Linked DNA regions of Notamacropus eugenii. The protein of the gene in region 4 interacts with the protein of the main gene of each other region in a biochemical or structural test. Links are inferred from orthologs where the notes say so. Each region holds a gene or a part of one and is shown on either strand. Other genes may lie near its edges. The genes, in order: ARFIP2, CYTH1, CYTH2 and ARF6.

The links.
Region 1: the proteins of ARF6 (region 4) and ARFIP2 form a complex in vitro, tested with the Homo sapiens proteins (2 studies listed by BioGRID). The link is inferred for Notamacropus eugenii from reciprocal best matches to the Homo sapiens genes ARF6 and ARFIP2.
Region 2: the proteins of ARF6 (region 4) and CYTH1 form a complex in vitro, tested with the Homo sapiens proteins (2 studies listed by BioGRID and IntAct, with this or other methods). The link is inferred for Notamacropus eugenii from reciprocal best matches to the Homo sapiens genes ARF6 and CYTH1.
Region 3: the proteins of ARF6 (region 4) and CYTH2 form a complex in vitro, tested with the Homo sapiens proteins (3 studies listed by BioGRID and IntAct, with this or other methods). The link is inferred for Notamacropus eugenii from reciprocal best matches to the Homo sapiens genes ARF6 and CYTH2.

The regions. Positions count from the first base shown.
Region 1 is NC_092876.1:89,003,398-89,010,341, forward strand, and holds the start of ARFIP2 (arfaptin-2), read left to right. Parts: upstream 1-3,924; 5' UTR 3,925-4,173; intron 4,174-4,613; 5' UTR 4,614-4,615; coding exon 4,616-4,714; intron 4,715-5,187; coding exon 5,188-5,284; intron 5,285-5,409; coding exon 5,410-5,528; intron 5,529-5,760; coding exon 5,761-5,982; intron 5,983-6,074; coding exon 6,075-6,232; intron 6,233-6,349; coding exon 6,350-6,524; intron 6,525-6,618; coding exon 6,619-6,774; 3' UTR 6,775-6,944. Other genes in the region: TIMM10B (mitochondrial import inner membrane translocase subunit Tim10 B), read right to left, coding at 2,704-2,901, 3,028-3,123, 3,810-3,860. UniProt on the Homo sapiens protein: Plays a role in constitutive metalloproteinase (MMP) secretion from the trans Golgi network. May have important functions during vesicle biogenesis at certain cargo subdomains, which could be predominantly utilized by secreted MMPs, such as MMP7 and MMP2.
Region 2 is NC_092873.1:320,236,746-320,244,302, forward strand, and holds the start of CYTH1 (cytohesin-1), read right to left. Parts: upstream 3,020-7,557; 5' UTR 2,823-3,019; coding exon 2,795-2,822; intron 1-2,794. UniProt on the Homo sapiens protein: Promotes guanine-nucleotide exchange on ARF1, ARF5 and ARF6. Promotes the activation of ARF factors through replacement of GDP with GTP.
Region 3 is NC_092876.1:12,827,909-12,834,762, reverse strand, and holds the start of CYTH2 (cytohesin-2), read left to right. Parts: upstream 1-3,838; 5' UTR 3,839-3,971; coding exon 3,972-3,990; intron 3,991-4,387; coding exon of another isoform or gene 4,388-4,463; coding exon 4,464-4,611; intron 4,612-5,102; coding exon 5,103-5,169; coding exon of another isoform or gene 5,170-5,259; coding exon 5,260-5,378; intron 5,379-5,491; coding exon 5,492-5,572; intron 5,573-5,775; coding exon 5,776-5,888; intron 5,889-6,133; coding exon 6,134-6,282; intron 6,283-6,672; coding exon 6,673-6,854. Other genes in the region: KCNJ14 (ATP-sensitive inward rectifier potassium channel 14), read left to right, coding at 1-501. UniProt on the Homo sapiens protein: Acts as a guanine-nucleotide exchange factor (GEF). Promotes guanine-nucleotide exchange on ARF1, ARF3 and ARF6. Activates ARF factors through replacement of GDP with GTP.
Region 4 is NC_092872.1:332,282,633-332,289,502, reverse strand, and holds the start of ARF6 (ADP-ribosylation factor 6), read right to left. Parts: upstream 3,021-6,870; 5' UTR 2,725-3,020; coding exon 2,197-2,724; 3' UTR 1-2,196. UniProt on the Homo sapiens protein: GTP-binding protein involved in protein trafficking that regulates endocytic recycling and cytoskeleton remodeling. GTP-bound form plays an important role in the transport of multiple palmitoylated proteins form the Golgi to the plasma membrane.

The DNA.
Region 1 (6,944 bases), on a different chromosome or scaffold from region 4:
AACTAAAGTTTTTAAGTATCTGCATTTTGATTTTAAAAATAAAAATAGAAAATACAATTTTTTTCCTGAATGTCCTAAAGCTTCATTACCTTTTAGTCAATGTTCTTATTCTGACTTCTCTTGGCATATTTCATATCCATAATTTCTCATATTCTTACTTGGGAGGCAGTATGGCCTGGTGGAATCAACCTCTGAGTCAAAAGACCCAAGTTCAAGACTTGCCTCTGACATATACTGCCAGTATGATTCTGGGCAAGTATGTCACTTAACAGTGACACTAAGTGGCACTAAAACTGTAAGTTACAGAGCAGGTACTCATGTTCACTGGTAGAGGAACTTTCTACAATCAAGAATTCTCCCCACCAATGAAATCCCAGGTCCACTATCCTATTATTTATACTATTGATGGTACCACAACATACCATTGATAGATCATCAATAAGAGATATGGAGATAGTGACTGAACTTGTGATTTCACTGATAGAGGGAACTCCCTCCACCTATACTGGTACCTCCTCTGCAACTTAATGTCTTAGACAACTGCCCAGGCACTGAAAAGTTTGGTAACTTGTTCAGGGTTCTCCAGCTAATATATTTCAGAGGCAGGGCTTCCTAACAGAGGCCAGCTCTCTTTGTACTATGCCATGGTACTTTCTATCTTTAAATCATAATTTATGCAGTCATTCCCAAATGAGTTGTTCCTCATTTTTCAAACAGCATATATCTCACACTTTTATCACAGCCCTGTGAGGCAGGGTAGTACAAGTATTATTATCTAATTTTAAAGATTATGGTGTGAAAGGTTTGGTGAGACTTAACAACTGGTCACACAGTTAAGGATGGGAGTCCAACCCCAAGTCTGAGGGTACGATAAAAAATACCAAGGGACAAAGGGCTGTATTTAAGATATCAACTGAAGAAAACAGAGTTTTTTGGTCATATTTATATTGAGTCTTGAAGAGTGGGTAAGGACATTCCTAGTATAGGAGAGAGTATGTGCAGTCTTAGAGCCAGGAAAACCTAAGGCACACCAACAGCAAAGCAAGTCATCCCGTATTTCTGTGGTATAGGTTTAAGAGGAACAATGAAGATGAGACTAAGAAGGTAGGTTGGGGACAAATCATGGAGGGCTTTGAATACCAGGTTGTTTGGACTGTAATCAGTGAACAATGGGGAGCCATGAAATATTTTCAAACAAGGTCAGTTTGACAATAGCAGACTTATTATTTGGTAAGATTATTTTGCTAGTTATAGGGATTGATAGTGACTGAACTTGTGATTGATTGCTAATGCAAGATGAGATGTAGAAAGATCAGTCAGGAGACTGCTATAACAGACTAGGTGAAAGGTGATGAGTAACAACTAGAGTTAGTGTCAGAACTAGAGATTGGGTGGTTGCAAGAGATACTTATAAATAAGACAGACAAGTCATGAAAACTGATTGGTTTGGGCATGGGAAGGGAAAAACCAGTAAAAGAAGACTCAAGAGGTAAACCTCAGTATCTAGAAGACAATGGTGACAACTTTAGAAACAGAGAAATTTTAAGTAGGTCTGGGGAAACCACTAAGTTTAGTTTTGGCAATGTTCACTTTTAGGTGAGAGAGTATAAATGGGGAGAAGGGGATAGGAGTGGAGATTATCCAGTGCTGCAGAGGTCAAAGAGGAAGGAGAAGAGACTAACTAGATTTGGTTATAAAACAGTTATTTATGACCATAGGAAAAATGTTTCAGTATAGTGCTGGGATAGAAGAGATTTCAGGGCTTCAAAGAACGTGTTGAGAAAGTGGGTGAGAAAGTGGAATACTGACAAAGTTTAGTACAGACTACTCTTCCTAGGACTTTGATAGTGAAGACAGAGAACAAAAGCTGAAGAGGGTAGCAGAGTCCAGGGTAAGTTTTTGGTTTTTTTAGGATAAGAAGATTGAGGGTCAAAGAAACAAGGGAGAAAATGTTTGTATGGGAAGAAAGACAGAGAAGAGGGATGAGAGTTGAATCAAGGTCTTAGAAGAGAAGTCAGGGAATACAATTTAAGATACAGATAGGGATTTGGCAAGGAAATTAGCCACTAAGAAACAAAAGATGCCTAAAGAAGTTTCTCTGACAGCCTGAGACTTCCTAAATCCTATAGCCAATACTTTGAGACAGCATCTTTCTCTTCATCTCAAACTCCTGTCCAGGAGAGGGACAAGAAAAGTCTCAACCAATCCATACCCTGCTTCCCCTAAAGCAAGCACACACAAGCATGGACACTTATAAGGACTTTACTACTGACAGGCAGGGTCAGATAAGGGGGAAAGGTACAATTAGGGATGTTTTGCCATCTCCGGGTTTCAGTGACAGGGATCAGAAGGGTTGCCATGAACTAATAATTCCTTTTCTTGTATTCCAATCCTTCTGAGGATCCAGGCAATCTTCTCTTTCTGTTCAGTCATCTCTGGTTCTAGCCCTTTGTACTATTTCCTTTGGAATTTGGAGGATATCCTGGTCTACTCTCCCTCTGCCTGGACACCACTTGTGGGAGATGATGGGCCCCTGGTGTGATGACATAAGGGTATTTGGTAAGCAACAACTGAGGTGGAACTGACACAGGATAGCCCCAGAAAGCCCCCTAAATTGCCCATGTCACACTATACGCTTTCCAGATATCAGAAAGTCCCATATTTGAGCATTCCATTCCAAGGTGGTAGGTGAACAGGAATCCCTTAGCTTCCTGGGCCTAGAGCCCCATGCTGGCCAGTCACGGGGCTTGATGGAGATCCAGTTGTCTCTGCCAGTGCTGCAGTGGCCTCATAGTCTGCCATGCGCTGCTGTACCAGGGCAGGCATCAGCTGTACATAGGCGGCCATTAGGCGGTGATTGGAGTAGACCAGCTTTCCTGCACAGCTGTCCAGGCAAGCCTCCTAGAAAGGAGGGAGAAGGGTGGTGTCAGTCTCCCTCCTCCCCAAGTTTACTTCCAGTTACAGTTTCTTTCCTCAGTCCAGAGGAGCACTTTCCACCTCCCTACAGAGAACATCTCTTACACACACCTCTTCTGCATCCAGGGCTCGATGGTGCAAGCTGGGCACACAGCGTTGGAAGCAGAGTTCCGTCATCCGGTTATACACCAACAAAAAGTCCCGAAGCTGGGGGCAAAGGGGAGAGGAGAAGAGGAGTGATGAGGTCCCGGGGAAGACACCTTCTACAGAAAAGGCTTATACAATTAGTACTAGAAGTGACCGTAAATATTCTGTCCTTAACTCCCAGCCTTTTATAGATAAGGAAAACAGGATGGGGTGGGGGGGAGAGAAGAGTGACCTGCCTGAGGTTAAAGCGTGAATCAATCAGAGAACCAAAACAAGAGCCACCAAACCCAGAGCTCTTTTCAAAGCACAGATCAGGATTAGTCGGAGGAAGGGGCCAGAGGCTGCACACGCAGACAAGCAGACACACGAGCGTGGGAACAGCGGGAATCGGGGGGTGGGGCTGGGAGACGCCCCCGAAGGCACTCCCTTCCCCAGCCAGCCTCAGACGTGAAAGGGAGTCCCGAGCACTCAGGGTCCCTGCCCTTGAAGCATTCTCCCGAGGCATTCCCTTGCCCGTCCCGGGCCATACAGGCCTCTCCATCTCAACGTCAGACCGCGCCTCCAGCCCCCGATCCTGGCACTAAGGATGCACCAAAGAGCGCATGCTCCACAATCGGCCGCACAGCCTGCCCTCTCTTAACACACCGGGTTTCCCTCTCCCTTTGTCCCAGACCAGGCTCCGGCGGCCCATGGGGTAGGAGCGAGGGACCCGCCGAGCCGAAGAGAACCTTCACAGCCCGACTCACGTTTCTCAGCTGCTGCTGCTGCTGCTGCTGGTGCTGCTGCTGTGACTCCATGGCCCCACAGGGCGCAGGCCCCTTACGTCACTTCCGCAACCGCGCACACCTTGCCCCCGCCTACGGCGCTAGGCGGCGTGGCCCGGCTCGTGGTGTCACTTCCGCCCTGGCGGTGGGCAACGCGGCTGCCTTCATTTGCCCGGCAGAGAACGTCATTTCCGCCGTGTCCCTGACCTGCTGCGAGGAGCGCGAAGGGAACCGGAGCCCGAGGTCCCAGGACGGCCCCGGGCCCGGCGCCCCGAGGGCAGGGCAGGGACAGGCGAGGCTGCCGGGAGAGAGGAAAGGAAGTCAAGGGAGCGTGGCCCAGCCAGAGGTGAGGAAGCTGGGCGACACCTACCTGAGCCCTGGGGGGGGAGGAGGAAGACCCACACCTGAGTCAATGGGGGGGAAGGAGCGCTTAGCTGCGTCCACCTGAGCTCGGTGAAGAGGGTCACCCACCCGAGCCCTAGGGACAGGGGGAAGGAGAAGGGACCCGGCTGAGCTGAGGGCTTAAGAGGGGAGGAGGGGCACCCAGCCAAAGCCAGGGTTTAAGGGGGGAGGAGGGGCACCCACCTGAGCCCAGGAAGGAGGAGGGGCGCCCACCTGAGACAAGTGGGGGGAAGAGGGGCATCCAACTCGGCCAAGGGGAGAGGACGAACACCTACCCACGTCCAGGGCAGAATTCTCCTGAAGGATGAATGCACCTGGGTCCGTGGGAAGTACAATATGTTTACTGAGGATAGATGCCCTTATTCGAACTTTTGCCTCCCCCAGCCATGACTGACGGGATCCTGGGGAAAGCGGCCACCATGGAGATCCCCATCCACGGCAATGGCGAGGCTGGACGGCTTCCTGAAGATGATGGGCTGGAGCAGGTGGGGGTCTGTTTGCTCCGAGCTCCCCAGTGTACTCATATCCCTGGTGCCAGTAACTTGTCCTGACCTCCTTACTTAAGAACTCTTAATCTTCTGTCCATTCTCTGACTTACTCTGTTCCATTAATACCCTTACTACTCTTAAATTCCCTGGTGCCCCATACCATGCCTTGACCTCGCTAAGCCTCACGTTCATGATCATGCCATCTCTGGGTGCCCCATCTATTCTAATACTCCTTTAAATACCCAAACTCCCATCCTATCTTCTAATCTCTCTTGTACTTGCACCTCTAACTATACCTTAGCCTTACCAAATCTTGGACCTCCCAATCCCCCTACTTTCTGTCACCCTACTCCAAACTAGGTTACCTTCCTACACCTTGAATTCTCTGAACTTCTCCTGTGAGTCCTCCATTCCTCATCTCTGTGTCTCTACCTAATTGTCCCTCTTCACTCCCACTTGACCCCTCATAGGACCTGCAGCAGGTGATGGTATCTGGACCAAATCTCAATGAGACGAGCATTGTGTCAGGAGGCTATGGGGGCTCGGCTGATGGTCTTATCCCCACAGGTATGAGGTAGAGGACTTGGGGAATTATTGGGGTTGAAAACCTGAGAAATTGTTGGTTAAAGGAAGAAAAGAGGGGATAGAGACAGAAATGGTTATCATGCAGATCACAGAATTTTATCCTTTAGGGCCTGGCCGTCAGCAGCCCCACAGTGCAACCCCTGCTGGCCCTGGTGACGAAGTGGCCCGGGGCATTGCTGGGGAGAAGTTTGACATTGTCAAGAAGTGGGGCATCAACACCTACAAGGTGGGGCTTGTGTCCCCTCAGCCCCCTGTCCCGTGGGTTCCCCCAGATCCTATCTCCTGTTAATGCCCTACCTCTTCCCCGGTCCCTGGATCCCATCCCATCCCTTCCTTCACCCCTGCCCTTGCTCCTCCAGGGGCTCATAGTCACAAACTTGGGAGGGGGGCAGGTATTTCCATATTCTGGGGGGCTCTTGTCTCCGGGAGGGCCCTCTGACTGCCTGGGGCCTGCTCAGTGTACAAAGCAGCTGCTGTCCGAACGGTTTGGCCGAGGATCACGCACCGTGGACCTAGAGTTGGAGCTGCAGATTGAGCTGCTACGGGACACAAAGCGCAAGTATGAGAGTATTCTTCAGCTGGGCCGGGCACTCACTGCTCACCTCTATAGCCTGCTGCAGACTCAGCATGCCCTGGGTGATGCCTTCGCTGACCTCAGCCAGAAGTCCCCCGAGCTCCAGGTGTGTGCACCTACCTCCCTTCCACTTTGAGGGCAACAGGGGACCAGGGGCAAGGCATGACCTCTGGGCCCCTATGTTCATTCAACCCACAGGAGGAATTTGGTTATAATGCAGAGACACAGAAGTTGCTGTGTAAGAATGGGGAGACTCTGTTGGGGGCTGTCAATTTCTTTGTGTCCAGCATCAACACCCTGGTCACCAAAACCATGGAGGACACTCTTATGACTGTCAAGCAATATGAGGCTGCCAGGTAGGAATGTACAAGCCATAAAATTGGAGTGGGGAGTGAGTACGGGGCTCAAGGTCAGGACGCCTTAGGCCTTACTCCCCAAGTTTTATTCATACATGACTCTTTCTGTTCCCCTAGACTGGAATATGATGCATACCGCACAGACTTAGAGGAACTGAGCTTGGGTCCACGGGATGCCGGGACTCTGGGCCGACTTGAAAGTGCCCAGGCCACATTCCAGACACATCGTGAGAAGTATGAGAAACTTCGTGGGGACGTGGCTATCAAGCTCAAATTTCTGGAGGAGAACAAGGTGCTAAACTGTCCCCCTCACCCCTACCCCCTAACTCCTCTCAATGTTTTTCTCTTCCCACCTCCTCCCAACTGACCCCCATCCATGCCCCCAGATCAAGGTGATGCACAAACAGCTGCTGCTTTTCCACAATGCCGTGTCCGCTTACTTCGCTGGGAACCAGCAGCAACTTGAGCAGACCCTGCAGCAGTTCAACATCAAGCTTCGGCCCCCAGGCTCTGAGAAACCCTCTTGGCTGGAGGAGCAGTGAGATGGCCTGGCCTGGCCCTCCACTCCCAAGAAGCACTCCTGGCTACAGGAGCAGTGAGGCCTGCCCCCTTGGATTGGCCCCTGTCCCCAAGAAGCCCTCCTAGGTGGAGGATCAGTGGACCTCCTCCCTAGGAGGGGCTGAGGGGAGCAGGAATAAGTGCCCTCCTCTCC
Region 2 (7,557 bases), on a different chromosome or scaffold from region 4:
AACATGATTTTCCTTCTAGCTTAACTATTTCCTGCAACACCATCTTTCTCACCTTCTCCATCATATTCAAAAATGTGAGATTATCTTTGACACTGATCACCCAAATCCAGTTATCAGTTCTGCCTCCATACCAGCTATCACATTCAACTCTTCCTCTCTATTCCCACTATACTACCTAAGCAGGAATAATAAGAGGCAGCATCTCATGCTACAATGAAAAAAGCACTGTATTTAAAGACAGTTGCAATCAGGATTAAAACCCCACTTCATTTACTTAGGAGCTATGTGGCCATGGACAAGTCATTTAACTTGCCTGGTCCTTACATGCTCTACCTTTAAAATAAACTCCTACACCTCAAGAATAATATAGTTGGAGAAGACCTCTGAGGTTGTCTAGGCACGATATTTTGGGGAATAAATCCAGCTAAGGATACAGAAAAAAAGGATTAAGTAAATAAGAAAAGAACTAAAAAAAGAGCAATTTCATGAAAACCCAGAGAGGAGCAGTCAGGAGAAGAGGGTGGTCAATAGTGTCAAATGTACAGAGAGATCAAGAAGAATGAAGACTGAGAAAAGGCAATTAATTTGGCGTATAAAATCAGTGAGGTCTTTGGAAAGTGCAATTTCAGTTTAGTGATGATGTCTAAATGTAGATTGTAAAATGTCTAGAAAAGAGTGAGTGGAGGAGTTTCAATTTCAACTGAGATAGCTACTTGAATGGGAGGCAGACCAATCAACTTCCACATACCTACTCCAGCAAAACTGTGAAGTTTTCAACAGCCTAAATAATGATCAAGTAATCCATTAAGAAACTTAGTAAGTAACTTCTTCAACCCCAGAACTGCACAAAAAGTAATGAAATACAGTAATGAAATCACAGGACCTATCCTTATGTTAATACCATCCCTGGATGTAGTGTCTTGTAAAAAAAGAAAGAAGAAAAGAAAAAAGGAAAAATGGCTTTATCAAATTAGGCAAAGTACATGAGGTTGTAGGGATGATAGTAGTAGCAATAATAATAGTAGAAGTAGCAATAGCAGCAGCAGAAGTAGCCATTACACCCATATACTTGGGCTGTTAACAATAGCCACCACAGGTCCTCCTGCATCCCTTTTCATACTGTTACTACACTGTTTCTGTTTCATACTGTTACTGTTATATACCAAGTACTTAGATCTGGCCATGTCACATCCTGGTTAATAAATATTTAATTTATTTTTAAAAATCTAAACTCTCAACTGCCTATAAAGTTAAATTGAAACTTCTTGGCTAACATTCATGACCCTCAAAAGGGTCACCTTACTTTTCCAGACTTATTTCATGTTATTCCCCTCCATGTACTTGATAGCTCAGTCAAAGCAGACTCAGTCCTCCAATCACGCCTCTGTGTCTCTGATCACATTGTTTCCTTTGCTTGAAATGTCTTTCTGTTTCCACCTACTTCTCAAATTCCTATATGTTCATTAAACCCCAACTCAAACGTCACTTGTCCATGAAGCTTTCCCTGATCCCTTGTCAGTAACAGTCTTCCCCTTCATATAATATTTTGTTCAGCAACTATTTAATGTACCCATATAATACTGTGTATTAGTTATCTGAATTTGTCTTATTCCCCCTACTAAACTATAAACTTTAAGGATGGGCATAACGTCTAATCAAAGTTTTGTACCTCCCCAGTTCCTAGCACAAAGTGTATTCTTGATAAATTTTTTTAAATGAATGAGCCAAAAAACAAATGAGTTTGCCATTCACAGGTCAAGAACATACGTTTTCTTTACCTTATCCTGGATATGGAACAACATAAAAAGGAAAGGCATTTTTATTACAGCCTCCATCTCTAATTGCAAAACTTCACTATATGACTATAAGGTTAGATGTAGTCTTCCTCCCAAAATAAAACATATTGTTTCACACAAGCCAGTGTAAATTAATTTTGATTGTAATTTAAAGATAAATTATAATATCAAAACTCTACTACCTACTCAAAGTTCCATGAACATCATTTTAATAAAAACAAAACATAACTTTAAACACACTGTCTCTCAGACACACTTTTCATAGAAAATCTACTGGAATCCAAAAATTACAGGAATATCTTTATATTACTTATAATTTCACTATTTACTGTGAGGGTGGAAAAAGTAATCCTATCACATCTACCTATCAGGCTTCAAAATAATCTGAAAGTAATTTTGTAAAAAGAAGAAAGAAGGCCAAAATACTAGGTACTTTTTTCATCATGTTTAATGAATAAAAATATCAGTGATTTTTAGTCCTAACACAGAATATCCGGATCCCAACTTGTTAATGTCAAAAACATTATGATTGATAAATACTTTCTTGACCTTGGTCAAAAAACTAATCCAGCCCAGCTTCATAACCTCTATAATTTCTGACCAAGTGCCAATTTAGAAAAAGGAGTTGAAGGTTCTGAGAAAAAGTTAATCCCCTTAATTAAGTAGTATGAGCACTGAGAGTTTAACTTCAAAGAAAATCATTTGATTTGTAATAATACACTTGTGAAAAAGGAACAGCTAACAGGGACAACTAATTTACCCTTTTTCTAAAAGAGGAGGTGAAGATAAATGAAACAAACCCTATACTATATTTTTTCCTTTCACGTGGAAACCCTGCAGTAAGAAGAAACCGTAGCCTGGTTAATTCTCAACCCCACCCAAAAAAGGCAAAAGGCCTAGTAATTCTGTCTTCAAGCTTCACATTATTAGTCAACATACATACAGAAATTTTCCGTCCTATAATAGAAGTTAAGTTTTGAGTATGATATTGAACTCACCTTCCTCTTCCTCTGTTTTAAGTACCATTTTGTCCAATTGGATAAAATATGAAGGTCTCAGTCAAGTTTATTCCTCTCAATTGATTTCTTCTGGTAAAAAAAAAAATGTAACCAAAGAGAAAGCTTTCCAAACTAAGTAAGATTTTGTGGGCCAGAAATACCTGTAAATCTGTCTAGCCACTAAGACAGCTCAGAGCTGCTTCCTGAACTGAAAGCTACAAATACACAGAGCCAATCAGTAAACAGCCAGAAAAGGAGTGTCATTCCCTGTTGAATCACCACCACCTAGTTCCTGTCAAGCTGAAGTACCTTCCTATAAAGAAAGTTAACTCTTTTAGCACCTAGAGTTTGTCTAACAGGGTGACAAATTGTTAGAGCAGTTCAACTCTCTTCACAAACACAAGCAAATCAGATTTAACCACTAGAATTGCCTGCTCTCTTATCCTTTAGCCCCAATTCTTAGATTACAACAGGAAAAAGCCCTGTCTTCTCATAATTAGATTATAGTTTAGTTCAAAAGAGGATGACTAGTCAGAGTTCATGACATCACAGGTCAAATAGGTAAGATTTTACAAGCCAATTAAAGTTCAAAACCTTGCATATATAGTAAGCTCAATAAATGGATGGTATGAACACGCAAAACACAAATCTAAAGCAAAATGCCAAACATGATGAGTTCTTCCTTAATCATCAAGCCACTTTTTCTAATGTACCTACTCAGCAACTTTTTTCTTGTACAACCCCTATCAAGTCCAATGTGACTCTCATATTGATGGAGATGAAAACCCAATCTTTTTCAAGGGGCGTGACAGTGTTGGCAAGACATCAAAGACTTTTACCAGTCCACCTTCAGGGATTCATCCTTTGGGTGCTCCTGACTTCCATCTTTGAGAAATAAGATGAAAGAGTCCAATCCCGTGAAGTGGGTTACTACTCTAGAGTTACTACTCTAGAGATTCAGGGGAGTATTCCCCTTGGGGGAGATCTCAATAAGAGAGTTCTTTCATTCTGTACTGCCTGGTATATATTCTTATATGTAGACCTTCTCTGATTTCTGTTTGCCACGATTTGGATAAATAGGTTTATTTGTTACGTGTATTCATTGTGGAACTAGTATTAAGTGGAAAAGTAGTCAAGTCTTGGATACAAAGTTTGGGGTCCCCCTCCTTCCAGAAATGATAAAGCGATCAAAAGTTAGATAGAACCTATCTCTTAGATGAACATTATTTAAGGAAGCACATAGATATATTTCTGGGCCAGAACTCTCTCACTTTCATTGGGGGTAAGTCAGTTCAACTAAGAGAAGGTTATGGATCTCACCCAAAGGGAATACTCCCTGAAGTCTCTAGAGTAGCAAGCTGGGAATAGGGACTACCTCCTCCTTTCATGTCTTCCCAGAGTCTTTTCCTTTAGCAACCTGAACTTCTTCCATCTTCTCTAAGGAGAGCAGAGTAGTGACCTCTGGCCCCAACTTCCTACGTCCCCTCATACCAGGAATGAAAGTCTCCTATGGAGAAGGGTGGGGATGAAAGAGGCTAGAGATATCTATTCTGCCTCCCTCAGCCATACAAGGATTGATTTCCCATTCTCTTCCTTCCAACATTATCTTTTTTTTTTCTTAATTATTGCTTTGGTTTCCTGATTAGTCTTCCTGTTTTATTCAGATTTATCCTTTTCCCTATCTATCCTCCATGTAGCTGCCAATAGTGATATTTATATGATGTGAGTTTGGCAATGTCACTCTCCATTCTGTAAATTCCAGTGGCTCTCTAATGCCTCTAGGTTTAGTGCCTGGCACATAGGAGGCATTTAATAAACGTTTGCTGACTCGACTGTGGTATCAAATATAGATGCCTTTATTTGCATTTGAAGCCCTTGATGGCCTGATTCCAGCTTCCTTTCCAGTCTTATTGTAACACTGTTCCCCTTCACATGCTCTGTGGTCCTGCCAAATAGACCTTGCTGTTCTGCACACATGACATTCCAACTCCTATATGCATGCTGGCACTACTACCTCCTCTCCTCTGCCTCCTGAAATCCCTGGCTTTCTTCATGGTTTAGCTCAAACACCACTCCCTATATAAAGCCTTTCCTAATCCAGTCCAACTGCTGCTCTTTCCCCTGCTCTCAAAAAATTACCTTGACAGTATTTTACATATCCTTAAATGCATACATGCTGATTCCCCCAATTAAATGTTAAGTTCTTTGTGGGCAGGGACTGTTTGTCTTTGTACTTCTAGTGCCTAGCACAGTGATTAGCACACAAGAGCTGATTAATAAATTCCTGATTAATTTATCTTGGTGATTTTGTTTGTACCACCTCCTGTGGTCAAAATGGACTTCTACTGATCCCTTACTCCCCCCAGTTAATCTCCATAGGCTGAAATACATCCTTCCCTTCAAGCTACAATTCATGTACTTTCTCCTTGATGAAGACTTCCCTAACTCTATCCAATTGATTCCAAATTTTTCATATCACTTTGCCTGAAAAATTCCTTTGTACTTTTCACATTCTTACATCTCCATTACTGATATCACCCTAGTCCCCATATAACATCTTAAGTACCTTGAGAAGAGAATCTGTGTCACTGGTATCTTCATATCCCCAGCATAATCTTTTGCATATCCTAAATGCTTGATAAAAGTTGATCTAATAGAATGTTTATGAAGCATACATATATATAATATATTTACATATATTGTACATCTGAGAACTCCTCCACCAATGTAGATCAGCAACTTGTTTACAATTTCATAGTCTTAGAGAGTGATCTCAGGCACTGAGAGGTAAAGTGACTTGCCCATGGTAACACAGCATGGGTCAGAGTAAGGTCTTTGAACCCCTGTCTTCCTGACTCCCAAGCTGGCTTTCTATCTACTAGACCTCTGAGGTGAGGTATTTACAACTGAGAATTTTGTCAAGAGAATGTATGCTTCACAGATAGGTTGCAAATGGCCCTAAGTTCTCTTCCAGCTATAAGTCTGGTTCTAGGAGTTATACTTTAATATTTCAGTGAATCTATATCCTCTTAAATGCAGGTATTCTCCTCTGATGATATGGGTGGATTTTACTCACAGAATCTAGTAGAAGCCTTCCTAGTAACATTACAAAGGATACCAGTCCAGTTCTCAATATCTTATCTACTGCTCCTTTCTGACCATATATTTCCTGGATGATTTTTATGCCACTTCTTATGCACTCGTCAATTTTGGTAATATGCTGACATCAAATTATGCACATATTTTTTTTTCTATTGCCCTCTGGGTCTCCCAAAGTTTTAAGTTTCTCCCCCAACAAGTTTCATCTTATATACATGCTAAGATTCCTTGACAGAAGCAAAAACAGACAACTCTGTCCAATAATGTCTGATTATTAATGTCAGGCAAGAAATAAAGCTGAAGAGATATGCTTGCTAAAAATACTCACCAGAGTCATAGAGGATATCCATATGTTCAAATAGAAGAAAAAATTCACAATAAGTGATGAGGTCTTCAGCTGTTCTTGTTTGTGGATGACACTGTACTGATAAAATAAAGCCACAGAGCACTACAAAGCCTCACTAATAAGATCCATAACTCATTCAAAAGAGTTTAGCCTAACAAACCACAGAAGAAAATCCAAGTAGATGAAAAATGCTTTGTGCCCAGACTATCATATGGAATTGGATATATAACTCATTGAGTTAGTCCCTCATTATATTTATTGTGAAGAAAAAATGTAGAGAGACAATGAGATGGTTCCAGAATTAAATAAAAGAAACAAAAGTTGGCTGGAATTTCATTTAGGAAACTGAATCAGAAACTTATCTTTGTAAAAAAAAATTGTTATTTTTGTTGATAACTTTTGTTTTTAAGTCACAATCATTTCTCAATATTGCATCCCTGTCCTACCCAATAAGCCCTCCTTTATAACAAATGTGTTTTTAAAGGGGGAAAAAGTAGTTCAGCAAAAACTAATTAACATATCCACTACGTCTGACAACATATGCAATATTCTATACTTATAGTCCCTTCTTATCAACTCTTTTCCAGGACCAACTCTGGTTTAGACCAACACTGTTTCTTTTTCTGTTTATTCAGCATATATTGTTATTGTCATAATATACATATCCTTTTCTTGGTTCTGTTTTCTTCTCTCTGCATTTGGTCTTCTTCGGCAACGAAGAAAGAATACACACGCATCAGCTTATACAAGTTTCCCCCATGCTTTTCCATTTTTTTCATATACATCTTTTCTTAACATATAAGTAACATTTAATTACACCCACTTACCACAACTTGTTTAGCTACTCCCTGATCAAAAAATGACTACTTTGTTTCTTGTTGTTTGTCATTAAATAGTGCTGCTCTGAATATTTTTATGTATATAGGACAAAAGTATAGTGGGATCTCAGGGTCAATGTGTATGGACAGTTTAGTCATTCTTTTTGCATAATTAACAATTGTGGTCCAGAATGGTTGAGCCAATTCACAATTCCATTAATGGTGCATTAAAGTGTTTGTCTTTCCAGTCCCTCCCACACTGACTATTCTCATTTTCTATCACCTTTGTCAATTTGCTAGATATAAGGTAAAACCTCAGAGTTGTTCTTATTTGCATTTGTATTATTGATGTTTTGGAGCAATCTTTCATATGTTTGTTAATAATCTGTAATTATTCTGAGGAACTGTTTGTATCCTTTAAGCATTATCTACTGGGGAATGGTGCGTGTTCCTACATATTTGTGCTAATTCTCTAAATATCTTAGAATCCAGATTCTCAT
Region 3 (6,854 bases), on a different chromosome or scaffold from region 4:
ACCATTGTCCATGAGATCGATGCTTCCAGCCCCCTGTACGAGATGGGCCGGGCTGAGCTGGCCAGGGCGGACTTTGAGCTGGTGGTCATCCTGGAGGGCATGGTGGAAGCCACAGCCATGACCACCCAATGCCGCTCGTCCTATCTGCCAGGGGAACTCCTGTGGGGCCACCGTTTTGAGCCTGTGCTCTTCCAGAGAGGGGCCCACTATGAGGTGGACTATCGTCACTTTCACCGAACCTACGAGGTGCCAGGGACCCCCATTTGCAGTGCTCGGGAGCTGGAGGAGCGTCGGGCCCTGGGGGACAGTGACAGCCCTGGGCCCAAGGGTGGCCTACCCGGCACCCTGGCTGCCTTCTGCTACGAAAATGAGGTGGCCCTCAGCTGCTGCCAGGAGGAAGATGAGGTGGAGGAAGAGAGGGGTGAAGCCCAGGTGGAGGGCAGCTCTGGAGCTCCCACCCCACCCCCACCTCCATCCCCTGAATTGGCCCCACCTCCTTGAAGGGCTGGGGGACTGCAATTCCCAGTATCATGGACCTTGGCTGCCTCAGTGGTGCATCATGTTACACCCCTCCCCAGGAGTTGTGGGAGTTGTAGTCCTAGGTTGGGGAGCAGCTGGAATCTAGGCCCAGGGACTCCCCTACAGCCCTAGAGCCCCTTCCTTCTGTGGGGCATGGGCTAGGATGGAAGGGGAGGCAATGCATGCTTCCTGAACCCTGGACCTTAGGAATGGGGGAGGTGGTTTATGGGTGGAACCTTCTGGATGAGTTGAATCCATAGCCCCTCTTCACCAGTTTCCCAACAAGGGGGAATGAAGGTCCCCCTCCCTTCTACCCCTATGGACACCCTCACGTGACTCCTCCCAAGTCCTTTCCTTCTGGGCTTAATCCTGCCTGGAGTCCAAGAGGTAGGGGGTGGCCAGGGTTGTTCTAGACCCCTCACCCTCAAGAAAAGACTGGGACCCAGGATACCCATTGGTCCAGGCCCCTGTTTTGGGAGAGGACAAGCCATGGAGGGTCCCAGGTCCTGGGGCCATGAGGAGCCTGGCCTGGCCTCCAGGCTAAGAAGCATCCTGGATGCTCTGGGCCACCCAAGTAGCCAATGTCTTTCTCCAGAATGCCGTGCATATTAACTATCTACACATTTATATATATACATATATACTCTCCATAATTTTTCCTGATTTTGCTGCAGAAGGGGTGGGCAAGAGTGGCCTTGGTCTCAGGAAGGAGGTCATTCTGGGCAAGCAGGAGACCTCAGACTGGAATCCAGCCCCTTTCCCTCTGTTTCTCCTGTTAACCAGAGCGGGTTGGAATGTGTTTCCTTCAGCTTTGCCAGCTGGGGAGCCTATGACCTCCGCACCCTGGGAGGTGGCATCGCTCACTAGCCTCACTGGAGACTTTACTGGAAGGCCCTAGAACAAAGCAGGTGGTGTTCCTGTTAGGACCTGGCACGGCCTCTGGACACTGGGAAAGCTGCAGCATGAGTCACCCCAGACTGAGCCCTGGGCTGGGCTGCCCTGCCTTGCCCCTGCCTAGGCTCTGGGGCAAGTGAGGAGGAGACTGAAGGACCCTGGGGTCCTTTCCACCATTGCCTGGGGGTGGAGGGAACCGGCTTGCCCTTGCCCCCAGAATAAAGAATTGTGAAGCCATCTGTGTGTGTGTGTGTGTATGTGTGTCTGGGTGAGAGGGGTGAGGGGTGGCTGCCACCCACAGTCCTGGCCCTTGGCCCAATGCCTCATTTTCATGAGTGTGCCTAGGGAGAGGTGCCAGCTTGCAGTGGGGGCTTGAGTCAGGGGAAAGAGTGGAGGCACCCAGGATCCCATCTGGGCCCTCCATCCTCCCCCCTCCAACCCCACCCCTCACAACCTGGACCTTGGGCTCCCTCCTGCTTCCTGGAGCCCATGCTTGGGTTCAGGGTCTTTCCCCAGGGTCCCAGCTCTCCCATATCCCACCGTACTCCAGAGACCTCATGGCCCTTTTTGCCCAGTCCCCCATCCTCCAGAGGCCCCATCCCTCTTTCCCCAGCCTCCTAAGGTCTCTTTCATCCCTCTGAAGCCCTGTCTTCCCCCTTCACCCCACCCCCCTCCTATGGCCTTTATCCATCAGTAACCCTGATAAGGACCGGAAGGAATTAATTAGCCAGGCCGCTGCAGGATTGTAGGGGGAGAGAAGGTGAGACCTGAGGCCTCAAAGGGTGGGGGGAGTGCTGAGGATGCCCAGGTGGGATCAGGAGGTAGCCTAGGGAGAAGGGCATGGCAGAAGACCTAGGACCCCTTCTTGGATACCAGGAAGAATATGGGAGCTTCAGACTTCCTGAAGGTCAGAACAGGGACAGGGAGGGGATTAAGAGGCAGAAACTTTTTCCATGGCTAATCCCTGGGGGAAGCTGGTCACCTGGAGGTGAGGAAGGGAGCCACAGCAGGGTCATCACCTCCTTTTTCCCTCCTGTTTCTTCACCAAGAAAAGAGCCCTACCTAACTGTGCACTCAGAGAACCTGGGCCTCAGTTACCTCATCTGTAAAACAAATGGATTGGATTAGAGGTCAAAGATTCGCTCCCACTAGAGATGTGGTGCGTGGACCCTGAAAAGGGGAGGGGTGCACAAAGGCAGAGTTAGATTTGCAAGGGGCCAGAGGTCATCTGGGCCAACTCCATCATTTCGGAGATGGGAAAAGAGACCCAAAGGTGATTTGGTCAAGGTTCCCCCAGGCAGGAAGTAGCAATTTGGAAATGCAATCCCTACTAGGAACTATGTGGGGGAACAGGGGAAAGGACAGGAGCCCGAGAGGAGGCAGGAGGAAACAGACAGAGTGTGAGAACTGAGGTGAAGGGAGAGGGACACCTCCAGAGGAAGACGCAGTCTGCATGGAGAGGGAGGAGATGAGGAGGGGAAGGAGTCTGGATAGAAAAGGAGTCAAGGGAGATGAGGAGAAGGTGGAGGAGAAGGGGAGAAGTCTAGATAGAGGGGGAGGAGTCAAGGGAGATGGGGAGGAGCCTGGATAGAGAGGGAGGAGTCAAGAGAGATGGGGAGGAGTCTGGCTAGAGAGGGAGGAGTCAAGGGGAGATGGGGAGGAGTCTGGCTAGAGAGGGAGGAGTCTGGATAGAGAGGGAGGAGTCTGGATAGAGAGGGAGGAGTCAAGGGAGGGCCCAGAGTGAGGCTAGGAGTCTGAGAAGAGTCTGGGCAGAGGAGAGGAGTTTGAGAATGATGGGATCTGAAGAAATGATGAGAAGTTAGAGGGAAAGGGGTGGAGCCAGAGAAAAGGGGAGGAGCCAGAGGAGAGGGCAGGAGTCTAAGAAGGGGAGGAGTCCATGGGAGAAGGGAAAAGGATTTGGTAGAAGCACAGGGTGGGTTCCCTTAGAAACACCGCCCTCTTCCACAGCCTTCAGCTGTTGCTAAGCAACGGAACTTTTTTTCTTTCTGGATCCCAGCTCTGTTGCCGCCCCTTAGCAACGCACCGGCTTGGAGAAAGGCTACCTCCCCCCGTCTATCTCTCGGCCTTCTCACGCAGGCGCAGACACTCTTGCCCATCTCAAGCCGAAGCCTTCCCTAGTCTGCTCCCTGTCACTTTTTCAGGGGTTGATACTCCCGATTCTATGCGCACCGCCCTCCTGAGCCGGGCCCCAACCGTCATTGGGTCCAGCTTGAGGGGCGGGGCCCTGAGCCCCTTCCACGGAGTTCCATTGGCTCGCTCGGTCACCCTCCCCTTGTCCACCGAGGCAACGCGGCCGCCTCACGCCCCGCCTCCGCCGGGCTTCATTGGCCCAGGTAACCTGCCCCTCGACGCCCATTGGGCCCACGGAAGCCAAGCTCAGGTTCCCATTGGTCGGGGGGCGGCCCCAAACGAGAGCGGAGGCGGTGGCGGCGGCGGCCCCGGGAGCGGCCGAAGGGGCTGAGCATAGCCCCAAGGACCTGCGGAGAACCGGTGGCCCGAGCCACGCTACGGGCCCGCGCCGGGCTGCCCTGGTCACCATGGAGGACGGAGTCTATGGTGAGGCGAGCGCGGAGCGAGCTCCGGAGGGCTGGGGGGCTGGGAGGCGACGGGACGTTCCATTCCATTGTTCGGGACGATACCATTTCCGGCCGGCGCAGGGGGGCGTGGTCGAAACCATTCCCTGGGCGAGTCCATTTCCTGCCTATGGGATGTACTATCCCAGGCGCACATGGGGGGGGCTCCCTTGGATCGGGAGACACCATTTTTCTTGGAAGGGGGAATCATCCCAGGAAAGAATGAAGGCGAGGGTGGAGTTTGGGGGGGCAGTTGAGTGGAGATAAGGGGGAAGAATCCAAGGCTTCTCTCCCCCAACCCCGCTCCCAAACTTAGTCCTAGTGTTGTCCGTGCTCTCTGCCTCAGTTTCCCCGGGAGACCTTTGCGCACCTTTCCCCAGACATGTCCCCGCACGCGGTCACGCGCGGACGCACCACCCCTGCGGCCAGCCCTCACCCCCCCCCCGTGTCCCCCAGTACCCCCAGACCTGACCCCCGAGGAGCGCCTGGAGCTGGAGAGCATCCGGCGGCGCAAGCAGGAGCTGCTGGTGGAGATCCAGCGGCTCCGCGATGAGCTCAGCGAGGCCATGAGCGAGGTGGAGGGGCTGGAAGCCAACGAGGGCAGGTGGGCAGCGTGGCGGCTGGTGCCCAGGACACGCTTGTTGGTGCAGCTGCGGAGCTGGCTGCCCTGGGCCACCCTTCGGTGTCAGAGAAGGGGTTGGGGGGCCCTGGGACCCAGCCCCAGCCGGGAGCCCCGAGACCCCAGGGGACCCCAGCGGGAGCCCCGAGACCCCAGAGGACCCCAGCTGGGAGCTCCGAGACCCTAGCCAGGAGCCCCGACACCCCAGGAGACCCCAGCCGGGAGCCTGAGACCCCAGGGAACCCCAGCTGGGAGCCCCGGGAGCCCCAAGACCCCAGCGGGAGCCCTGAGACCCCAGTCAGCCCTGAGACCCCAGGGGACCCCAGCCGGGAGCCCCAAGACCCCAGCCAGGAGCCCCAAGACCCTAGGGGACACCAGGAAACCCCAGCTGGGAGCCCCGAGACCCCAGCCCCAGCTGGGTGTGGGTAGGTGGAAGGTTCCCTAGCTACTCACAGCTCCCCTTCCCACCCTTGCAGTAAGACCCTGCAGAGGAACCGCAAGATGGCCATGGGGAGAAAGAAGTTCAACATGGACCCCAAGAAGGTGCCAGGGCTGAGGGCAGAGTTATCTGGGAGTGTTGGGGGGCCATCAGACCCCACCTCACTCCCACCCTCTCTCCTAATCCCTCCGCAGGGAATCCAGTTCCTGGTGGAAAATGAGCTGCTGCAGAACACGCCTGAGGAGATCTCCCGCTTCCTGTACAAGGGTGAAGGCCTCAACAAGACGGCCATCGGAGACTACCTGGGGGAGCGGTGAGGGCGCAGGAGTGGGCACAGGGCAGACATAGGCATGAGGCAGGAGTGGGCATGGGGCAGGAGTGGGCATGGGGTGGGCAGCTCACAGTGTGCCCTTTGTCTCCCCCCAGGGAGGAACTGAACCTGGCTGTCCTCCATGCCTTTGTGGATCTGCATGAGTTCACGGACCTCAACCTGGTTCAGGCACTGAGGTGACTGCAAGCCCCCCCTACTTAAGGAAAACAGCCAAGACCAGAGCCCACCTCTGTAGGACCCTGGACAGGCAGTGTGTCCACTCCCAACCTGTGACCAGGGGGGCCCTCTCCTTGCTGCCCCTCTGCCTCTCAGGCTCCCATAGCAAGGGATGGGAGTCCTTTCCCTGCTGCCCCTCCTCACTGCCTTCCATCCCCCTCAGACAGTTCCTATGGAGCTTCCGCCTCCCTGGGGAGGCCCAGAAGATTGACCGCATGATGGAGGCTTTCGCCCAGCGCTACTGCCTGTGCAACCCGGGAGTCTTCCAGTCCACAGGTGGGCCTGACCCAGGGCACTCAGAACATTACCACAGTATCCACTGTTTGCTGGCACATTTTGGGGATGCAGAGAAAGGCAGATGGGATGGGGTGGGGTGGTGGGGCTGAGGGCAGGGCAGGAGTAGGCCATGGGAATTTTTCAGGGAGGCCGATTTAGGGACTTCCCTGCAATCCCAGAATTCCCAGAGAGGAAGGTGGTGAGCTCCCCTTTCCCCTCTCCTTCTGCCCCTCCTCTGAGTGCAGACACCTGTTACGTGCTCTCCTTTGCGGTGATCATGCTCAACACCAGCCTGCACAACCCCAATGTGAGAGACAAGCCGGGTGTCGAGCGGTTCATCACCATGAACCGGGGCATCAACGACGGCGGTGATCTTCCCGAGGAGCTGCTCAGGGTGAGGCTGCCACCTGCCCCTATCAGCACCAGCCTGTGCCCACAAATGTTGGGCTAGGGCCCTCTCTGCCATCATCGTGGGCTGGTTGGCTTCTCCTGCCACCTCCCCCCACAACACCTAGCCTGTGCCCATAAATGCTGGGCCAGGGCCCTGTCTGCCATCGCTGTGGGCCGGCCGGCATCTCCTGCCACCATTCCACCCCTGCCAGCCTGAGCCTGCAAGCACTGGGCCTTCTCTGCTGTGGCTCTTGCTGCTGCCTGGCTGGGCTCTCCTTCCCTCCCTGCCTGGGTCCCTGCAGCCTCTATCCTCCTCCCTCCTGTGAGCTGCCCCTCTCTCCCAGACATCTCTCAGCTTGAGGTCCTCATGCACCCTCCCTTCTCTTCCTCTCAGAACTTGTACGACAGCATCCGCAACGAGCCTTTCAAGATCCCCGAGGATGATGGCAATGACCTGACCCACACCTTCTTCAACCCTGACCGGGAGGGCTGGCTCCTCAAACTGGGTACGGCGCCCGGGGTGGAGCACTGGGGAAAGGGCCGGGCGGGCCGGCCGGGAGGGGGCTGGGGGCTGGG
Region 4 (6,870 bases):
TAGCATGAGGGCTTCAACTTTCTTCCAGTTTGGGAATTTTCTGTGCTTATCTTATTCCAGATGTTACTAGTACATTCTGATATTTGAATATCATTTTACAAACATTTTATGTACCTTAAAAATTAGAATCGTTCAAAAGACTATGAATTAAATTTATGATGGAGCCTTAGAAATCTTTTGTAAGGGTACCCAAAATGTTTTATTTCTTCAACCTAATTTTCAGTAGGCCTTGCCCCTGAATGAAGTTAAACTGCTAAGTTACAGCAGAAATTTTAATTCCTATTCCATATAAATTCTATAGAAACAGTTTATTATCTATTAGTCTATTAAGTAAAATATTTGTCCAAGTTGTTTCATGTCAAGAAGTGAATTTTCTATAACCTTAAGCCCCCTCATATCTTTGGTAAAAAGCACCATCATACATTTTATGGTCAAAAAACATGCAGGATTAATACTGCACAACTGTAGTATGATGTCTCATTCAAACTTTTGCGGATTTTTCATAAACCCCAAGTGCACACACAAACATACAGACACACACCACCTCATTTCTGATTTTATAGTATACATTCTTTAAATTCCAAATTTTAACTTTTTAATGATCTCTAAAAATTAATATTTGAGGCTAAGAACCAGCTTCTGCTGCACAATTCTATATCAAGTTATTAACATTTGATTCAAAGTACTCTCAACTATCTGGTTAACAATGTAATCTAGTTATACTGACAGTAGCTGACAAACGGACAAACTGGTTATCTTTCACAAGACTTATAAATTTACATTCATCGTCATATGTAGGATCATTACCTACATATTTTCCACTATTTACTTGGCATTTCTTATCAGTGGATTTTATCTAGTCATCTATCAATTTTCCTTTCCTTCTAAATTTAAATAAATGTGAACTAATAAAGTATCTGATTACCACCTCCATGAATTAAATCTACATTCTCACAAAATTAAGTCAAACTTTAAAAAATAATCCATCTTTTTCACTGATAATTAAGATATAGGTCATTTGTAAACTCTAAAAAAATTACTTATTTCTTCAACTTAATCAGCTTCTGCGATAGGGAAACTGGAATGTTTGCTTTTGCAGTTTGGAAAAAAGATTGATAATTTGAATTTTTAAAAATATTTCAGAACTGACCACAATAAACAGACTAGTAATTATCAAAACTCACTGTCTGGTTTTTGCTATCTTATCTGCCAACTAAAAAAAAGCATGTTTTGTCAAAATGTAACAAAATGTTTCAGCTATCAAAGTGGTGTGTACCATTATTGCTCTATTGCCTGAATAATTCTTACACTACTATCGGAAGTGAACAAAAAAGCAACGAGAGAAAATTCAACACAACTGCTAACTTTTCAATACGAGATCTATGGCCTGTTCAAACTTTCACATTTTCATTCAGGAAACAGCTAGCTATGTGGTACAGCAAATTTGGTCTTATCCCTAGTCATGCAAGATGTATGTTTCAGAACTTAATAGCTAACATTTCAAAGCACTTCTTACATTACCTGCTTAACATTACGGATTTGCACTTGCAAGTTATTACAATGGTATCACTTGTTTGCCACTGCAGGCAAGGTTTTACCATTCTAGTTTTAGATATGAAAAGACACACCTGAAATTACTAAAGTTAGAACTCTTTAAAAAAAAAGAGTCCTTAAATATAAAAGACAGACTGCAGTTTGATTAAGCAATAATTTTCAGTTTACTAGATGAAACAGACTTGCAACATCGTCTGCATGAATGCAAAATAAGCCATCTACAGCAAGTGATAAGGTAACTGGGTAAAAGGGGGGAGACATACATTGAAAAAAAAGATTCCCTCAAAATAAAAAAATCAAACCATTATTATAAAGGACCATCTCAAGAGCTGCTATATTTTCCCCCACCCCATTTGCTGGAAGTCAACAAGAGCACCTAGTACTTTGTGTTCATGTCAAATGTCAGACTAGAGCGTCCTAAAGCAAAGCAAAAAAAAAAAAGAAAGAAAGAAAGAAAACAAACAAAAGAAACCCCCCAAACCCCAGCCCCCCCAAACAGTAAAACAGTAACTCCAGAGTCCATATTCAAAAGAAGAGAAAGTGGCATTTTGGAGGTGATGGTGGTGATAATCCTATGAATGTTTTTTTATTTCTCTCCTGAGGGGAGTTGGGGAGGGGGGTGTGATGGGCGGTGAATGCTCATTAGGATTTGTAGTTAGAGGTTAACCATGTGAGGCCCTCATAGAGTCCATCCCCTGAGGTGGCGCAGGAAGGCTGCACATACCAGTTCCTGTCCCGAATCCGGGTCAGGCCCAGTTTTTCCTGGATCTCGTGGGGTTTCATGGCATCAGGCAGGTCCTGCTTGTTGGCGAAGATGAGGATGATGGCGTCCCGCATTTCCCGGTCGTTGATGATGCGGTGCAGCTCCTGGCGGGCCTCGTCGATGCGGTCTCGGTCGGCGCAGTCCACCACGAAGATCAGCCCCTGGGTCCCGGTGTAGTAATGCCGCCAGAGCGGCCGGATCTTGTCCTGGCCGCCCACGTCCCACACGTTGAACTTGACGTTTTTGTAAGTCACCGTCTCCACGTTGAAGCCCACGGTGGGGATGGTCGTCACCGACTGGCCCAGCTTCAACTTGTACAAGATAGTGGTCTTGCCGGCGGCGTCCAGCCCCAGCATCAGGATCCGCATTTCCTTGTTCCCGAAGATCTTAGACAGCACCTTCCCCATCGCGTCGGAGAAGCCGGGGCTGGGGGCATTCAGGTGTCCCGCGTCCCCTTAGGCACCGCCGCCGCCGCAGCCTCCAGGAAACCGAAGCGGTCCCGCCCAGCCGCGAGGACGCCCTGCGGCCTGCAATGGGGGAGCCGCCGCCGCCTAGGGGCCGAGTCCCGGGGCCCCGCTCAGTGGGACATCACCGGCCCCAAGACGGGCTTCCTCCAGCCGCCGCCGCCGCCGGCCAAAAGCTGCGCCGCGGGGAGCCGCCGCCCTGGTGAGGCCCAGCCCGGAACTGCCCTTCCCCCCCAGGCACCGAGCGCCGCCGCCGCCGCTCCCGCTCGGCCCGCTCCTCGGGCTGCCTGCCGTCTCTCCTGGCCCCGCAGCCGCCGGAGACCCCGGCCCGCCCGCCCGCCGAAACACCGACCCTCGCCACCCGAGCGACAGCGGCGGCTCCGGCTCCTCGTCAGGTCATTGATCCCCGGAGGGACTCGGTGAGCTACCTGGAAGGAGACAGAGAGGAAAGAAAGGGAGAAGGGGATTACCGCCGGAACTCCGGGGAAAGAAATGGAGGACCTGAGTACCCTCCTTCCCCACCCAGCCCAAGCAGTTACCTCCGGCCACCGCCCTGTATGCAGGGTCCCCCGGCCGACGCTGCTGCCGCCGCCGCCTCCTCTTCCTCCTCCCAGCTCAGCCCCAGCCACAGCCGGAAAAGGCGCCGAGGAAACCGCCTCACTTCCCCTCTCAGCCACGCAGGCGCAGCGGCGGGCAACCGACTGTTCGGAAGAAAGGGACCTCTGTAAGAAGAGTGCTCTCAGCGCCTCGCGTCATCGGCGCCACGCGGGGAAAAGGAGAGGCGCGGACTACGGTGGCCCGAAGGGCTCCCGCGGGTGACGGAGGGGGCGGGCCAATCCAGAGGAAGGCTGGGAGGTGGCTCTCCCGCCCTCTCTCCTTCTTCTTCTTCCCCTAAGTTTCCATTTCTTTCGTTCCGGCCGCTTCACCACTTCCAGGGCCGGGAATCCTCGGGAAAATCCTCCGGCGTGCAGGGCCTGCCTGCCCCCCGCCTACTAAACGCTCCCCTCATTCCGTCCTGGCCTTCGCCCCGGCCTGACCCCGTTTTCGTAGTTTCTCCCTCCGCCCCCCGCTTCCCGCCACGCCGCGCCGCACGCCCCCGCGGACCTCGCCGCCCGCCTTGCCCTGCGCCGCGCCACGCCGCGCCGCTAGAGGAAGACGTACGGAAGAAGCCCACGCGGCCGCTCCTGCGCCCGTCGGCGCGCCCCGCGCTGGGCTAGGCCGGCCCTGGGTGTGCCCTGTGCGCCTCCCCGGCTGCCGAAACTTTAGAAAACCTCGTTTCCCTTCAGTTTTAAAACCGTGCTGTGGCTGCCTGTGTGCGTGTGCGTGTGCTTCACGGTGTCCCGCAGTGGAAGCTCCCGCCCCCGGGCAGGATCCTTTGAAATGTACGAGTCCGTGTCAGTCCGGACTGAGCCGAACCTCGTGAGTGAAGCCGAAGTCTGCCAGCGGTCCGGACCTGGCCTCCGACCTCCCGAGCCCGATTTCCTCCTCTGTAGAACCTTCCAGCCGCAGATCTGTCCTCCTCTCCTGCTCCTAGGCTTAGCCTGCATTTTATTCCAAGGGAGTTTTTATTAAATGCCAAGAAGTTATATCATGGTATCTACAAAGTATTGAAAAAGCACCGACCAGAGGAAAAAGATTTGTCTTTACTTCACTCAGACAAGTCTCAGTTTCCACAGCCTTCCTACCACCACCTCCTCCGAGGGTTGTGAAGATCAGCTGAGTTAAAATACGTGCATGAACGCTAGTGATACCAGTACAAATCAGAACTAAAATAATGGGAACTTAGCCATGGCAGAAAGAGGAACTAGTGAAAAAAGAATGGTTTTTTAAAATTGGGTTTGGTGTTCCGTTGAGTAGTTGGAGAGATGGCAGGTTGCTCTTCATAGGAAGGTACAAAATTAAAAGGTGAAGTAAATTGCTCTATGAAAGAGAACAAAATTCTTAAGCCAGTAATTCACAGGATCTGTGGTATCAGCCATATGACTTCTCCCTCCACGTACCAATCACAACTCACTCCTGCACTTTCTCACTCAGTATGACTTTGCCTCTGCCTCCTGTATCCAATGTGCTGGCTCTTAACATGTGAATAACTGTGGGGAACACGGTCTTGTCCTTCTATCTGCCAATACCTTCTGTTGTCCTTCACTCTTGCTACATGACCAGCCAACTTTCTTATGCCTTATGGCAGCCAGGTGGTATAGCTAGTAAGACATGAACTCAAATCCTGCCTTAGAGAATCTGTGACCTGGGATCTGGAAATGGCTGTTTTTATACTGAGTTGAGTTGAGGATCAAATGGGATAACATGAGGGAAGCCCTTCGCAAATCCTCACCTGGTGTATAAATACTAGCTAGCTATTAGACATCACTTTGATGTGTAATGAAGTATAAAGGATCATGTTTGATCTTTTGCACTGCTTTTTTATAATGCTTTTTTTAATGATGTTACCCATAATTTTGATGCTTTGGAAAATATGGTATTTCATGATCACGGCCATATAGTATCACTGAAAGAATATTGAGTTTTGTTATATGGAGAAGTTAGGGATCATAAAAATAACAGTCTCCTTAGCTTGCTCTTATTCCTGTTCAGTTCTACCTCTCCCCACCTATCCTCTTTGCATTGTTTGTCCATATAGTGATAGATCATCTTACTACTTCATTTAGAAAATAGGCATTCTTAATTTTTTTTCTATGTTGATAAATAGACCAAATTCTTTTGAGTGATTATGGATCCTTTTTACATCTACAATGTTGCAGGTCTTATCAGAACAATGACATCTGCAAGGTGACCCAAAATGCATAGAATGTTGGACTTGGAGTGAAGAAGACATGAGTTTGAATGTAAACAGGGCAAGTTACAACCTCTCTCATCCTCAGTTTCTTCACCTGTAAATTGAGATTTTATCATGTGCCTCTCAGAGTTGTGAGGATCAAATGAGGTCACGTATAACAATTGCTATGTAAATTTTAAAGTGCTATATAAATGCCAGCTATCATTATCTGAAAGGAACATCACCATTTATAAGATCACCATCTTCCACCTGGACTCAGTTCTGGAAATCTTGCATGACAGTGCCAACACCTTTGACGAACATATCTCTGTTTTAAGCTTCATTTGATATTAATAGTGAGACCACATGGCACAGTGGTGCCCTCCTGGATCACCTCTTCCTTGTTTTGGCAGAGGTGCTTGTGTAATTCCACATAATATAGTTTCATTATGAGCAATGACATATGGAGTTACCCAAGAAGGACAGGTTGTAATGGAGAGTTCTAAGGAAAGGAGTTCCATTGGAGTGGTTTCTGAGAAAAACCCATGGAGGACAGAAGGATGTGCCTTTGGGGTCATGAAGAGTTGGACACAACTGCACAACTGAACAACAGTGGCATAGTGGATAGAGGGCGAGCTAGCCTCAGAGCCAGGAAGACTTAGTTTCAAATGTCATCCCTGGGCATACTGCCTGTGACCCTGTGCAAATCACTTAACATCTAGGTAACTTTCTAAGACTTGCAGAGAAAGGCCAAACTTACATTGATAGAAGACATCTCATCATCTCAGATGTCCAGTCCCTATCTTGATATTAATAAGCAGAGGTTCATTGAATAGAGTTCTCTCTTACATCTTCCAAGGAATCATATATAATTTCTAACATGCATGGAAGACATCTTGTTGCAGGAGAGGCTTTAAGGTGATAAAAAGCAATTTTTTAAAAAATCAGCAGACAAATATAATACAAAGTTTCTCTGCACCCTTCAATCAATTATGAGATCTACCCTTCCGTGCTTATTATGCATTGTTTTCCTTACAGGCTTCCTACAATGCTACTAACCTGGCCTTCTTGTTCCTTTACATATACTGTAGCATTCCATCGTTCAGGTCTGTACCTTTGTACTTGCCTTCATGCTTTGAACATACTTGCCCTCACCTCATTTTAGCTCTGCTTCTTAGAATTTCTGGTTTCCTTCAAGGCTTTTCTCAAATACCATCTCCTAAATGAAATGTTTTCCTGATCCTCCCAGTTGCCAGTGTCTTCCCTTCTTGAAATTACCTTCTATTTATTTTGTATGTACTATACATGTAAAGGAA